Xenopus tropicalis: one gene and its partners. The protein of the gene in region 1 interacts with the protein of each later gene in a pairwise test. Links are inferred from orthologs where the notes say so. Each region holds a gene or a part of one and is shown in the gene's direction. Other genes may lie near its edges.

Region 1 (4,350 bases):
TTATGATATACTTAAAACATTTGTTAAAAAAGGGACTTTTGCCACTAACTCAAATGCTTTACAACTAACATTGGCTGCATTGTACTAGTCTTGTCATTCAAGCAACAAGATGGATAAGAAAAAGGATTTAATACATTTGGGCGCAGCGCCTATAACATGGCCTTTACTTCCTTGTTTACGCATACTCACTCAGTAGAGCAGGTACACAACCTCTTTTACCTATGAGTCACATTCAAATATAAAAAGAGTTGGGGAGCAACACAAGCATGAAAAATGTACTTGGGGATAGCAAATAAGGGCTGTGACTGGTTATTTGGTAGCCCCTATGTAGACTGACAGCCTCCAAGTCAGGAATTAAAAAATAAGCACCTGCTTTGAGGACACTGGGAGCAACATCCAAGGGGTTTGGGAGCAACATGTTGCTCAGGAGCCACTGGTTGGGGAACACTGCAGTAGAGGATCCAGAAAGTATGTAGGGGTGTTCTCTGAAGCCATGTATTGTATGGCATGAAACAATTGTACAAGAAACTGTAATTATATCTACAGGACTGGATTTCTCTTTAGGCACTCAGAGGCTAGCATCCTCAGCTTCCCCCCACCCCTCCCACAGGGTCGCGTCCTACATCTGGCGCACAGGGGACAGGGTGCATGGAAACCTCCCGTGCATAATCCCCAGTGCCCTGCATGTAAGTAAACTTCATGTGTGGCTTGGGCGGCATGCCGGCCCTGAATGTGTGCTGCCCTAGGCCTAATCTTCATGGCCTTGCCACAAATACCGGCCTGTATATCTACAAACATGAAGTTCTACCTTTAATTGTCCTTAAAAACTTGCAGTAAGATGATCAAATAGGTTAAATAATTGATTGATCTTAATTTGTTCTGTTGTGGTGGGAATATAAAACAACAGTACATCACCCCATACCAGCTGCCATTCTCTTGCTATGCACATTTCTATAAATATAATTTTTAGTCATTTTGCACATCCCTACCCTAATTGCTATATCTTTTGCACATCCCATACTCCTAGGCATAAAAAGTATATACATGGAAATAAGGTGCAATTGTTAAATAAGAATTTCATTTTAAAAAGAATGATTTTCTTTTTTTAATGTGCCCTTGTTGATCAAATAATACTTCTATTTTGCTTTTACCCCCAGATTTTACCCATTGCACCCAATAATACTGGAGGCCCAAAACAAATACACCGTTTGGTTTTCACAAACTGGCAGAGTTGTTTACACTACCTAGTTACCAATACCTACAGACGGGCATACCAACATGCAAGAGATGGATTGCTTTTGCGCATGCGTATGGCCTGCATTCTGAGCAGGCATTTCCTGGGACACCTCTCGCGTTTGCGTCCTTGTTGTAGATGGTTCCGGCTCGCTTGGCTCTTTGGTCCTGTGTGAGATCTGAGCAGGCATTACATAGGGCAGCTTGGCCCTCCTGGGTCCTTGCTGTTGTCGGAACAGGCTTTCGCTTAAGCAACACCACCAGTAGGTTGTACGCATCCTCGGGAGTAGTGAGGAGGCGGAGGAGGAGAAGAAGAAGATGGCGGACGTGCTGAGCGTTCTGCGTCAGTACAACATCCAAAAGAAGGAGATCAATGTGAAAGGAGATGAGGTTATCTTCGGGGAGTTCTCCTGGCCCAAGAATGTTAAGACCAACTATGTCATTTGGGGGTGAGTATGGCGCAGAAGCGGGGAGCAATCGCTGTCATTCTGTCCTTCCCCTGTTTGGGTGCTCACTAGGCATGTGCAACACACACACACACATACACACACACACACACACACACACACACACACACACACACACACACACTGCACTGGCCCCGGGCCAAGCACAGACAGATTTATCCAGGTAACTCCAACCTGTAACTCGTGGTGCCTGTGCAACTACAGCTCCCAGCATCCCCAAATTCTGTCGAAGTTTTGAGGGACTGTGGCAGCTGCCGTTTATGAGCAAAAGTAGAATCCCACCCATAGGAGTTCGGCATAGGTTTCTGTAGCGCCCAACTCGGCAGCGATCACTGTACTACAACTCCCAGAATCCCAGGACAACCTTATTCTGCCCAAGTGCTGCTGAGAGCTGCACAAAGTCCCTGAAATCACTACTGACTATATGTGTATGGCACACTCTCCCCACTTGGGCAAATAGACTCCTGGCATTGCCTCTTATTTATATCGTTACATTACTATTCACACATGCTGTACATCCATACCTTCCTCCTCTTACTATCTGTGTCTGTATGTATCCATTGTGACTAAATGTGCCTCCCCACAACTTACTGAACTACAAATCCCAGCAAGTGTAAAGCTTTAATAGATGCTTAGGATTGTGGGAGCTTTAGTCAGGCAGCATCTCTGGCCTGCACACATAGTATTTATGCTTTCATGTTTGCATAGAAAGGTAACATCAGAAGGATACAGTTACACAATAGTATTATTTTTATGTATGTAAAAGTAATGAGATTTTGAAAAGCTGTACAGGTGCTTTTTTCATGCAAGTTAGTCCTCCCCAGCCCAGATTAAAGGGGAAGTTCACATTATCAAAAACATAGTCCTTTTGTGTAGTTAGGATAATTTTTAGGTATTTGGGAATTGGAAAAGGCGAATTTACTCATGGATGCCAATATGTGAGGCACCCATCAGGGAATTAAAGCCCTACTTTTTTTTTACCTTGGAGAAAGAGCACAACACAATGCAGCCACCTACCCTGACCCAGGTGTCCCAAGCACAGATTTAAACAAGAACTCAAAAATTAATATATATAGAAATGCTTTATTTTATTTTTTTTTTAAACATCTTTTTATTGGTGACTATAAAGGCAATACATGCTACAGGCAGTACGATTCCTTATAGCACTTTTCAAATAGATATAATTTAAAATGTCATACTTTATATATTGAACTTATTGAACACCCCTAAAGGGTTAGCGTTTCTGTAGTAGTAGTTATTATTGAGGACTTCAAAATTGTGCACAGGAGCTCCCAATTTTAGATTGTTAGAAGTGTCAGTAACACTGCACATACTCTGTGTTCTCAGAGCAGCTGTTCTGTTGATAAGCTAAGCTTAGTGGTTGTTACAAATTTTTGAGCAGAAAATGTGTTTTGCCTGTCATAGAAGCTGATGCTGCAGGGTTGATTATTACATACTGATGCACATTGCACTGGTATCAGAGCTGCCCTGTACTAATAATCTGTATTATTGTGACATTTATACTGTGTACATGCACTGTTTTGTAAGTTAGTTCAGCACAGAGCATGTGCAGTGCGTCAGCAGAAGGAAGATGGGGAGCTACTGTAGGTATATTTCGGGGGACAGATCCTCCAAGCTGAATGGCTGTTGTTGCCTTGTGTTGGTACAGAAGCACAAAACATAATGTGCTGCATTTCTGCTCTACTTCTCAAACTTTAGTTCTCCTTTAAGCCCATGCAAGTGCAGTGGAGCACAATTAAAAACTTTTACTCTGTTGTACAGGTATGGGACCCGTTATCCAGAATGCTCAGGACCTGGGGTTTTTCCGTAATTTGCATCCTCATATTTTACTTAAAAATCATTTATAAATTAAATTAAGCCAATTGGATTGTTTTGCCTCCATTAAGGATAAATTATCTTAGTTGGGATCAAGTACAAGAAACAGAGCAAAAGGAAATATAAAATTTTTAAAATGTAAGTTCTTTCCTTAAAATGGAGTTGATGGGAGATGGCCTTTCCGTATAACTGGTTTCCAGATAATGGGTCCATACCTGAACATTTCAAAGGCTATGTCTGAAGAGGGACAGCTGGGAAATGCTGGTAACCTGGCTGTGTTGCTGCATTACTTTTTCCCCCTGGCTGGTTTTATTTTATTTTTTCCTAAAAAGAGCATGGATGGAAAGTATGGGTCAGGGACCCCCCCTTCCCACATGGATTGGATAGAGGCGTACTTGAATAAACACAAAGCAGTCAAAAACATTTTTGAAACATGGGAATCTTTTATTAGTATAATTCCACATGCACTGAAAGTTAAAATACTGCTTTAAAACTACCAATTGGTATATAACAGACTCTGAGAGGTAACCCACCTATACAATTAGAAACAGAAAGAGAGGTTAAGGCTGATGCCACACGTGGCGGTTTTACGCTGCGTATTTTCTAATTCTCTCGGCGGTTGAAAAACGCACAATATCATCATCCATAGAAATAACTTAAACAGTCTCGATGCTAGAAATACGCTAGAAAACGTGTCACCACGGAATTTTCATGCGTTTGCCGAAATACGCCGTTATTTGCACAGCAACCTATTCCTTTGTGTACACAAAAGCAGCTGCCAGACCTTGAGGAAATATGCAGCGTTTTTACTATT
Region 2 (3,656 bases), on another chromosome or scaffold:
AGGGTTAATATGCCCTTTATTCATTGTATTTAGTGATTATACCGGCATGTCTAGGGTTAATATGTCCTTTATTCATGTAACTTAGTGATTATACTGGCATGCCTAGGGTTAATATGCCCTTTATTCATTGTATTTAGTGATTATACCGGCACGCCAAGGGTTAATATGCCCTTTATTCATTGTATTTAGTGATTATACCGGCATGTCTAGGGTTAATATGTCCTTTATTCATGTAACTTAGTGATTATACTGGCATGCCTAGGGTTAATATGCCCTTTATTCATTGTATTTAGTGATTATACCGGCATGTCTAGGGTTAATATGCCCTTTATTCATTGTATTTAGTGATTATACCTGCATGTCTAGGGTTAATATGCCCTTTATTCATTGTACTTAGTGATTATACCGGCACGCCTAGGGTTAATATGCCCTTTATTCATTGTATTTAGTGATTATACCGGCATGACTAGGGTTAATATGCCCTTTATTCATTGTATTTAGTGATTATACCGGCACGCCTAGGGTTAATATGCCCTTTATTCATTGTATTTAGGGATTATACCGGCATGTCTAGGGTTAATATGCCCTTTATTCCTTGTGTTTAGTGATTATACCGGCACGCCTAGGGTTACTATGCCCTTTTTTCATTGTATTTAGTGGTTATACCGGCACGCCTAGGTTTAATATGCCCTTTATTCATTGTATTTAGTGATTATACCGGCACGCCTAGGGTTAATATGCCCTTTATTCATTGTACTAAGTGATTATACTGGCATGCCTAGGGTTAATATGCCCTTTATTCATTGTATTTAGTGATTATACCGGCACGCCTAGGGTTAATATGCCCTTTATTCATTGTACTTAGTGATTATACTGGCATGCCTAGGGTTAATATGCCCTTTATTCATTGTATTTAGTGATTATACCGGCATGTCTAGGGTTAATATGCCCTTTATTCATTGTATTTAGTGGTTATACCGGCACGCCTAGGGTTAATATGCCCTTTATTCATTGTATTTAGTGGTTATACCGGCATGTCTAGGGTTAATATGCCCTTTATTCATTGTATTTAGTGATTATACCGGCACGCCTAGGGTTAATATGCCCTTTATTCATTGTATTTAGTGATTATACCGGCACGCCTAGGGTTAATATGCCCTTTATTCATTGTACTTAGTGATTATACCGGCACGCCTAGGGTTAATATGCCCTTTATTCATTGTATTTAGTGATTATACCGGCACGCCAAGGGTTAATATGCCCTTTATTCATTGTACTTAGTGGTTATACCGGCATGCCTAGGGTTACTATGCCCTTTATTCATTGTACTTAGTGGGTATACCGGCATGCCTAGGGTTAATATGCCCTTTATTCATTGTATTTAGTGATTATACCGGCACGCCTAGGGTTAATATGCCCTTTATTCATTGTATTTAGTGATTATACCGGCATGCCTAGGGTTAATATGCCCTTTATTCATTGTACTTAGTGGGTATACCGGCATGCCTAGGGTTAATATGCCCTTTATTCATTGTATTTAGTGATTATACCGGTACGCCTAGGGTTAATATGCCCTTTATTCGTTGTATTTAGTGATTATACCGGCACGCCTAGGGTTAATATGCCCTTTATTCATTGTATTTAGTGATTATACCGGCATGCCTAGGGTTAATATGCCCTTTATTCATTGTATTTAGTGGTTATACCGGCATGCCTAGGGTTAATATGCCCTTTATTCATCGTATTTAGTGATTATACCGGCACGCCTAGGGTTAATATGCCCTTTATTCATCGTATTTAGTGGTTATACCGGTACGCCTAGGGTTAATACGCCCTTTATTCCTTTTATTTAGTGATTGTACCGGCACATCTGGGGTTAATATGCCCTTTATTCATCGTATTTAGTGATTATACCGGCACGCCTAGGGTTAATATGCCCTTTATTCCTTTTATTTAGTGATTGTACCGGCACACCTAGGGTTAATATGCCCTTTATTCCTTTTATTTAGTGATTGTACCGGCACACCTAGGGTTAATATGCCCTTTATTCCTTTTATTTAGTGATTGTACCCGCACGCCTAGGGTTAAGCTGGCCATACACGGGCCGACTATAGCTGCTGATATGGGTCCCTTGGACCGATTCGGCAGCTAATCGGCCCGTGTATGGGGGGAGCAGAGCGGCCTGGCCGACCGATATCTGGCCTGAAATTGGCCAGATCTCGATCGGCCAGGTTAGAAAATCTGGTCGGATCGGGGACCGCATCGGCTCGTTGATGCGGTCCCCGATCCGACTGCCCCATTGCCGCCCACATAATCCGATCGTCTGGCCCCAGGGCCAAACGATCGGATTATTATTTTTTTTACCTAAATGGTCCCCGATATCGCCCACCCGTAGGTGGGGATATCGGGGGAAGATCCGCTCGCTTGGCGACATCGCCAAGCGAGCGGATCTGCTCGTGTATGGCCACCTTTAATACGCCCTTTATTCCTTTTATTTAGTGATTATACCGGCACGCCTAGGGTTAATATGCCCTTTATTCCTTTTATTTAGTGATTGTACCGGCACATCTGGGGTGTGGTATGTAGGGGTGTGGCCACAAGGGCCGTATTAACCATACAGGTGCCTGCGCCTAGGGAAGCACCTTTAGGGGGTGGCCCTTTGGAGCCTACGTGAGAAAAAAAACAGTTAAAAGCAATACCCCCCCAGCCTCCCCCTGAACACTTACCTGGGGCAACACCAGCTGCTCATACAACCCTGAGGCTACAGGAAGAGGAGGGATTTGGGCAGATTGGGGGCGGGGCTCTTCAGGTTGGTTGGGGGCCCCTAGATGCACCACCCCATGTGAGCTATTGACCCTACGTGGGTGCTAGTGGGACAGAGAGGGTCAGGGCACATATGTTGCTCATCTGATTGGAGGTTGTATGATCCTTCCCAGGTGCTGCTTTGTGATTGGCTGCCTGACGTGATGGCCGGCTCCTCTGGGGCAGAGTTTATTCGCATCAGGAGGCGGGACTTGGAGCGCCTGACGACGGAGGTGATGCAGATGAAGGACTTTCTGCCCAAGATCTTAAACCCGGAATTGGTGGAAATAGTGCAGAGACTTGAGCAGGCAGAGACTGGTGAGACCCCTATCCCATTCCCATCAGCCCCTGCCCCAGTGAGCTTACAATCTAAGGTCCCTATCCCATTCCCATCAGCCCCTGCCCCAGTGAGCTTACAATCTAAGGTCCCTATCCCATTCCCATCAGCCCCTGCCCCAGTGAGCTTACAATCTAAGGTCCCTATCCCATTCCCATCAGCCCCTGCCCCAGTGAGCTTACAATCTAAGGTCCCTATCCCATTCCCATCAGCCCCTGCCCCAGTGAGCTTACAATCTAAGGTCCCTAACCCATTCCCATCAGCCCCTGCCCCAGTGAGCTTACAATCTAAGGTCCCTATCCCATTCCCATCAGCCCCTGCCCCAGTGAGCTTACAATCTAAGGTCCCTATCCCATTCCCATCAGCCCCTGCCCCAGTGAGCTTACAATCTAAGGTCCCTATCCCATTCCCATCAGCCCCTGCCCCAGTGAGCTTACACTCTAAGGTCCCTATCCCATTCCCATCAGTCCCTGCCCCAGTGAGCTTACAATCTAAGGCCCCTATCCCATTCCCATCA
Region 3 (3,656 bases), on another chromosome or scaffold:
CTATGTTGTATAGGAAAAGGAGTATCGAGATCTTTTAGAAAACTATCGTAGAGCATCTGCCCAGTCAGAAAGTTGGGAGAATAAGTTCCACCAAATGGAAAGTGAAAGTAGCTCTGCCAAACTGGACCTCATGGGTAAAGAATCCGAATGCAGATTATTGAAAGAAAGAGTAGAATCGCTTGAAAAAGAGATTGAGCAAGTAAGCAAACTAAATATATTACTGTGGCTAAGTTATACAGATCAGTTGACAGAAAGTGACAAATAAACGCTGCTTTCAATTGCAATATTTTCTTTTATTAGGCAAAAAATTATTTTTGGGGTTGACATGTCCTTTAATACAACACTCAAATCTTAGAAAACATATTTTGTCTTTCAAAAGGTATATAGTTTCCAAGGTAAAACAAAGGTTTACCTCAAGAAGCATCTCTGAAGCAAAAAAGCAGGAAATGTTAAAAAACCTTGGTGTTTCATGCCATTTTCTAGAGGGGTTGAGAAGGGTAAATGCATACTTTGATATTGTGTATATATTCCCCTTTGGACATAGATATTCTGAATAAAGTGTAGTTACATTCTATTGATTTATAATAATAACAACCAAATGATATACTGAGAAAATTAGATTGATATTTGAGGGCAGAGAACATTCCTTGGTTCTGCTGAAGGACAAATATAAAAGTTACACAATCTCAACCCTTAAGTATAAAGGAGAGGAACAAAATATTTGTAGGATGAGAAGTGGAATGTGCTTATGCAAGAAAAAAAGAATTACCATAGCTCTTTGCCATTTTGTGTATCATAGGGAGACAGAGATAAAAACTAGACACTATTTTCAATATTCACATAAATGAAAATATTTTTGTTGCCTCATTACCACATTTGATGCTTAATATACATTCACTGAATTATTAGGAATTCTTGCATTATACTGAGCAAATGTATACTGCATTGTGTGTTTGCAGTATATAACCTCTGAACAGTCCCATAAGTCCCAGATGTCTAACTTGGCCAAATCTGTTACACGGGTGGAAGAAGAGCTTCGCCAGGCTAAGGCTGAGAAAGTTACAATTCTTGAAGACTTGGCATCTACAAGGGAGCTTTGTGTTAAGCTGGACACAAGCAAAGAAGTTATTAACCGCCATCTTTGTGCTAGAAACCAAGATATTGAGAGGGTATGTATGTAAAAGTGAGTCTCTTTCTCTGTAAGAATGCAAATATAATGGTTTCTGAAAACTTTGCTTGCAGACCATATAGTTATATATATATTGTGAGAGATGCAATGGGAAAGGTCATTATTTGTTGTATTTCCACCAGTGTTTAAGGTGGAATACAAATGGCACCAGGTAAATTACCTGGTTTTACAGCAGGTAATGCTGTGTTGGAGTAAATCTCCCTTTAAGCTTTTGATTTGGCCAGCTGTAGGGAGCTGCCTGATTAGGCTGCAGGTGAGCAGCCAATAAAAGGGCTGTATGATTTACAGAGAGGGTGGGGAATTGGAATTGAACCTTGACTGAGTGAAGGTCACTCTCAGAGCAGGGCACAGGGCAGGAGGGCTGCCTGTGTCAGGGACTCCCAGAGGAGCTGGGGGTGCCACCTGCCACTGCAGGGAGCAGAGGGAGTTATGACCCGATGGATGAGTGCTGAGAGGGCTCAGCAAGGTAATGTGAAGCCTGAGTGTTCCAGAGAGTGGAACTAACCCTGGAAGGTGAGAACCCTGAAGAAGGGACATATCACAACCCTGAACTGTGTGTTGATGAACTGTCTTATGTTTCTGTTGGGAAGAACTTGCCCTAAATAAACCTGCTCCAGATCCTCTGCATGCCTGCCTGCCTACCATTGCTAATTCCCCCAAAATTGCATGTACAGGCAGTCAGCATGTCACAGTATATATACATACAAACGTACACACTCATTAGATAAATGTAGGCTTACCCATTTTACTTTTACGTTTTTTTGTGGAAACGCAAAAAACGGTGTAACATGAGGGTAAATTTAAAATCTGGGTATGTAAAATTGAGGTGTCACTGTATATGAAATCACAGATATCTTGCATATATGAAACATCTTTTTATTGTTTCTTTATATGATTTTTGTTAGTTTGATTCTGAGGTACTTATTACAATGCTTTAGTAGCTCCACTAATATCTAAGGTAGTAAGTAAGCATTCAGCCTTAAATTTCAAACAGCAGGGCTTCATTATTTGCCTCCTATAGCTACTTCACAGTTTAGCAACATTTTGTCCAAGGAATACATAACCCAGATAAATCACCATAAGGATAATGGCACATGGCAAGTTTTGTTGCCCATGGGTAAATATATGCCAACGTGGGCATCAGATCTGAAAATTCCCTCCCCTTTGCTAACATTAAATTAAATTATTTGCAGTGATTTGGCTTATTCACAAGAAAATGCCAATGGAAGGCATTTCCCCACCAATAAGCAGAATTGCTTGCTGGGAGATTTGTTGCCAGTAGTAGCACAGACTTTACCACAAGAGACAAATCTTACACAGAAAGGCATACCATGTGGGCAAATGTCTATTAAAAGGCCATTACAGTACACACAACATTGAAAAATAACCATAACTACAACATTCTCCACAGCTATATAAGCAAGTCAAAGGGCCTGATCTATGATTGCATGAGTCTTCGGGCTCGAGCAATCATAAAGGAAACCACACAGGGCCCTAGACACATATTCAAAAAAAAATCTCTGCTCTAAAAAACATCTAACATTAAATTCACATTCTGAGTTGGTGAGGAGTCTGCCCAGACAGAAATGGATAATCTACTGTCAAAACAATTGTGTCACATAACATAAATAGCAAAAGACTGGTCTCAGTATTATTAATACTTACATTATTATTCCCTAGAGATAATATATGCTTGTCATTCTTGAGCTTGTCTTGTCAGGCAAGATCACATAGAGTTAACTCCCCTCTCCCCATGATTTGTATATTCTAAACGGCACTATGGCAGGTGATTCACACTGTTGTTTAACCAAGTCACATGGTGGAAAAGCACTTGTCTTATAAGTATTTTGTTTGTAATATTTTATACACAAGCAAACTTTTGTTAGACATGAATGGTAAAATAGATTTCTTAAATATCTTTTTTTAGAACTGAATCTGTGGCAAAAAATATTTATTGGTTTCACACTGTATTAAATCTAACACATCTAGTTCCTTATATTAAACATTGGTCTGTGAATTTTAGTTTCAGGATGAATTAGAATCATCACGCTCAGATATTGAACTTCTCAGAAAGCAACTTGCCAGTGAAAGAATTTCAGTAAAGAATTTGGAGGCATTGCTGGTGTCTAACCAAGAAAAGGAATTCCAGTCCCAAGTACATGCCCAAGATCTGGACTCAGAGCTTCAGCTTCTTGGAGACAAACTGGCCTTGGCAGAAACCAAACTGTAAGTTAGTGTTTATAACCATTTGTACAGTACTTGCCACAGTATTACCTTCTGAGTTATAAGCCATTATCCTATAAAACAATACTTATTTATAAAACATAACTTGCATTTTGTTTTAGAATAGACAAAATGGACCGAACAAAGCAAAAATATTTGCTTTGTTCTTATATGTCTAGTGTGCAGAGAGTAAGGCTATTGAACCACAGACATTCATAGCCTTTTTGTTTCTGTGTCACTTCAG

Evidence for each region.
Region 2: the proteins of cdc73 (region 1) and hsf2bp interact in binary tests that used the Homo sapiens proteins (3 or more experiments, as listed by UniProt). The link is inferred for Xenopus tropicalis from reciprocal best matches to the Homo sapiens genes CDC73 and HSF2BP.
Region 3: the proteins of cdc73 (region 1) and tsga10 interact in binary tests that used the Homo sapiens proteins (3 or more experiments, as listed by UniProt). The two-hybrid records come from large-scale screens. The link is inferred for Xenopus tropicalis from reciprocal best matches to the Homo sapiens genes CDC73 and TSGA10.

The regions. Positions count from the first base shown.
Region 1 is NC_030680.2:113,580,034-113,584,383, reverse strand, and holds the start of cdc73 (parafibromin), read left to right. Parts: upstream 1-1,541; 5' UTR 1,542-1,551; coding exon 1,552-1,682; intron 1,683-4,350.
Region 2 is NC_030678.2:1,553,722-1,557,377, reverse strand, and holds part of hsf2bp (heat shock factor 2-binding protein), read left to right. Parts: intron 1-2,936; 5' UTR 2,937-2,966; coding exon 2,967-3,120; intron 3,121-3,656. UniProt on the Homo sapiens protein: Meiotic recombination factor component of recombination bridges involved in meiotic double-strand break repair.
Region 3 is NC_030678.2:112,862,020-112,865,675, forward strand, and holds part of tsga10 (testis-specific gene 10 protein), read left to right. Parts: intron 1-13; coding exon 14-199; intron 200-959; coding exon 960-1,169; intron 1,170-3,212; coding exon 3,213-3,415; intron 3,416-3,656. UniProt on the Homo sapiens protein: Plays a role in spermatogenesis. When overexpressed, prevents nuclear localization of HIF1A.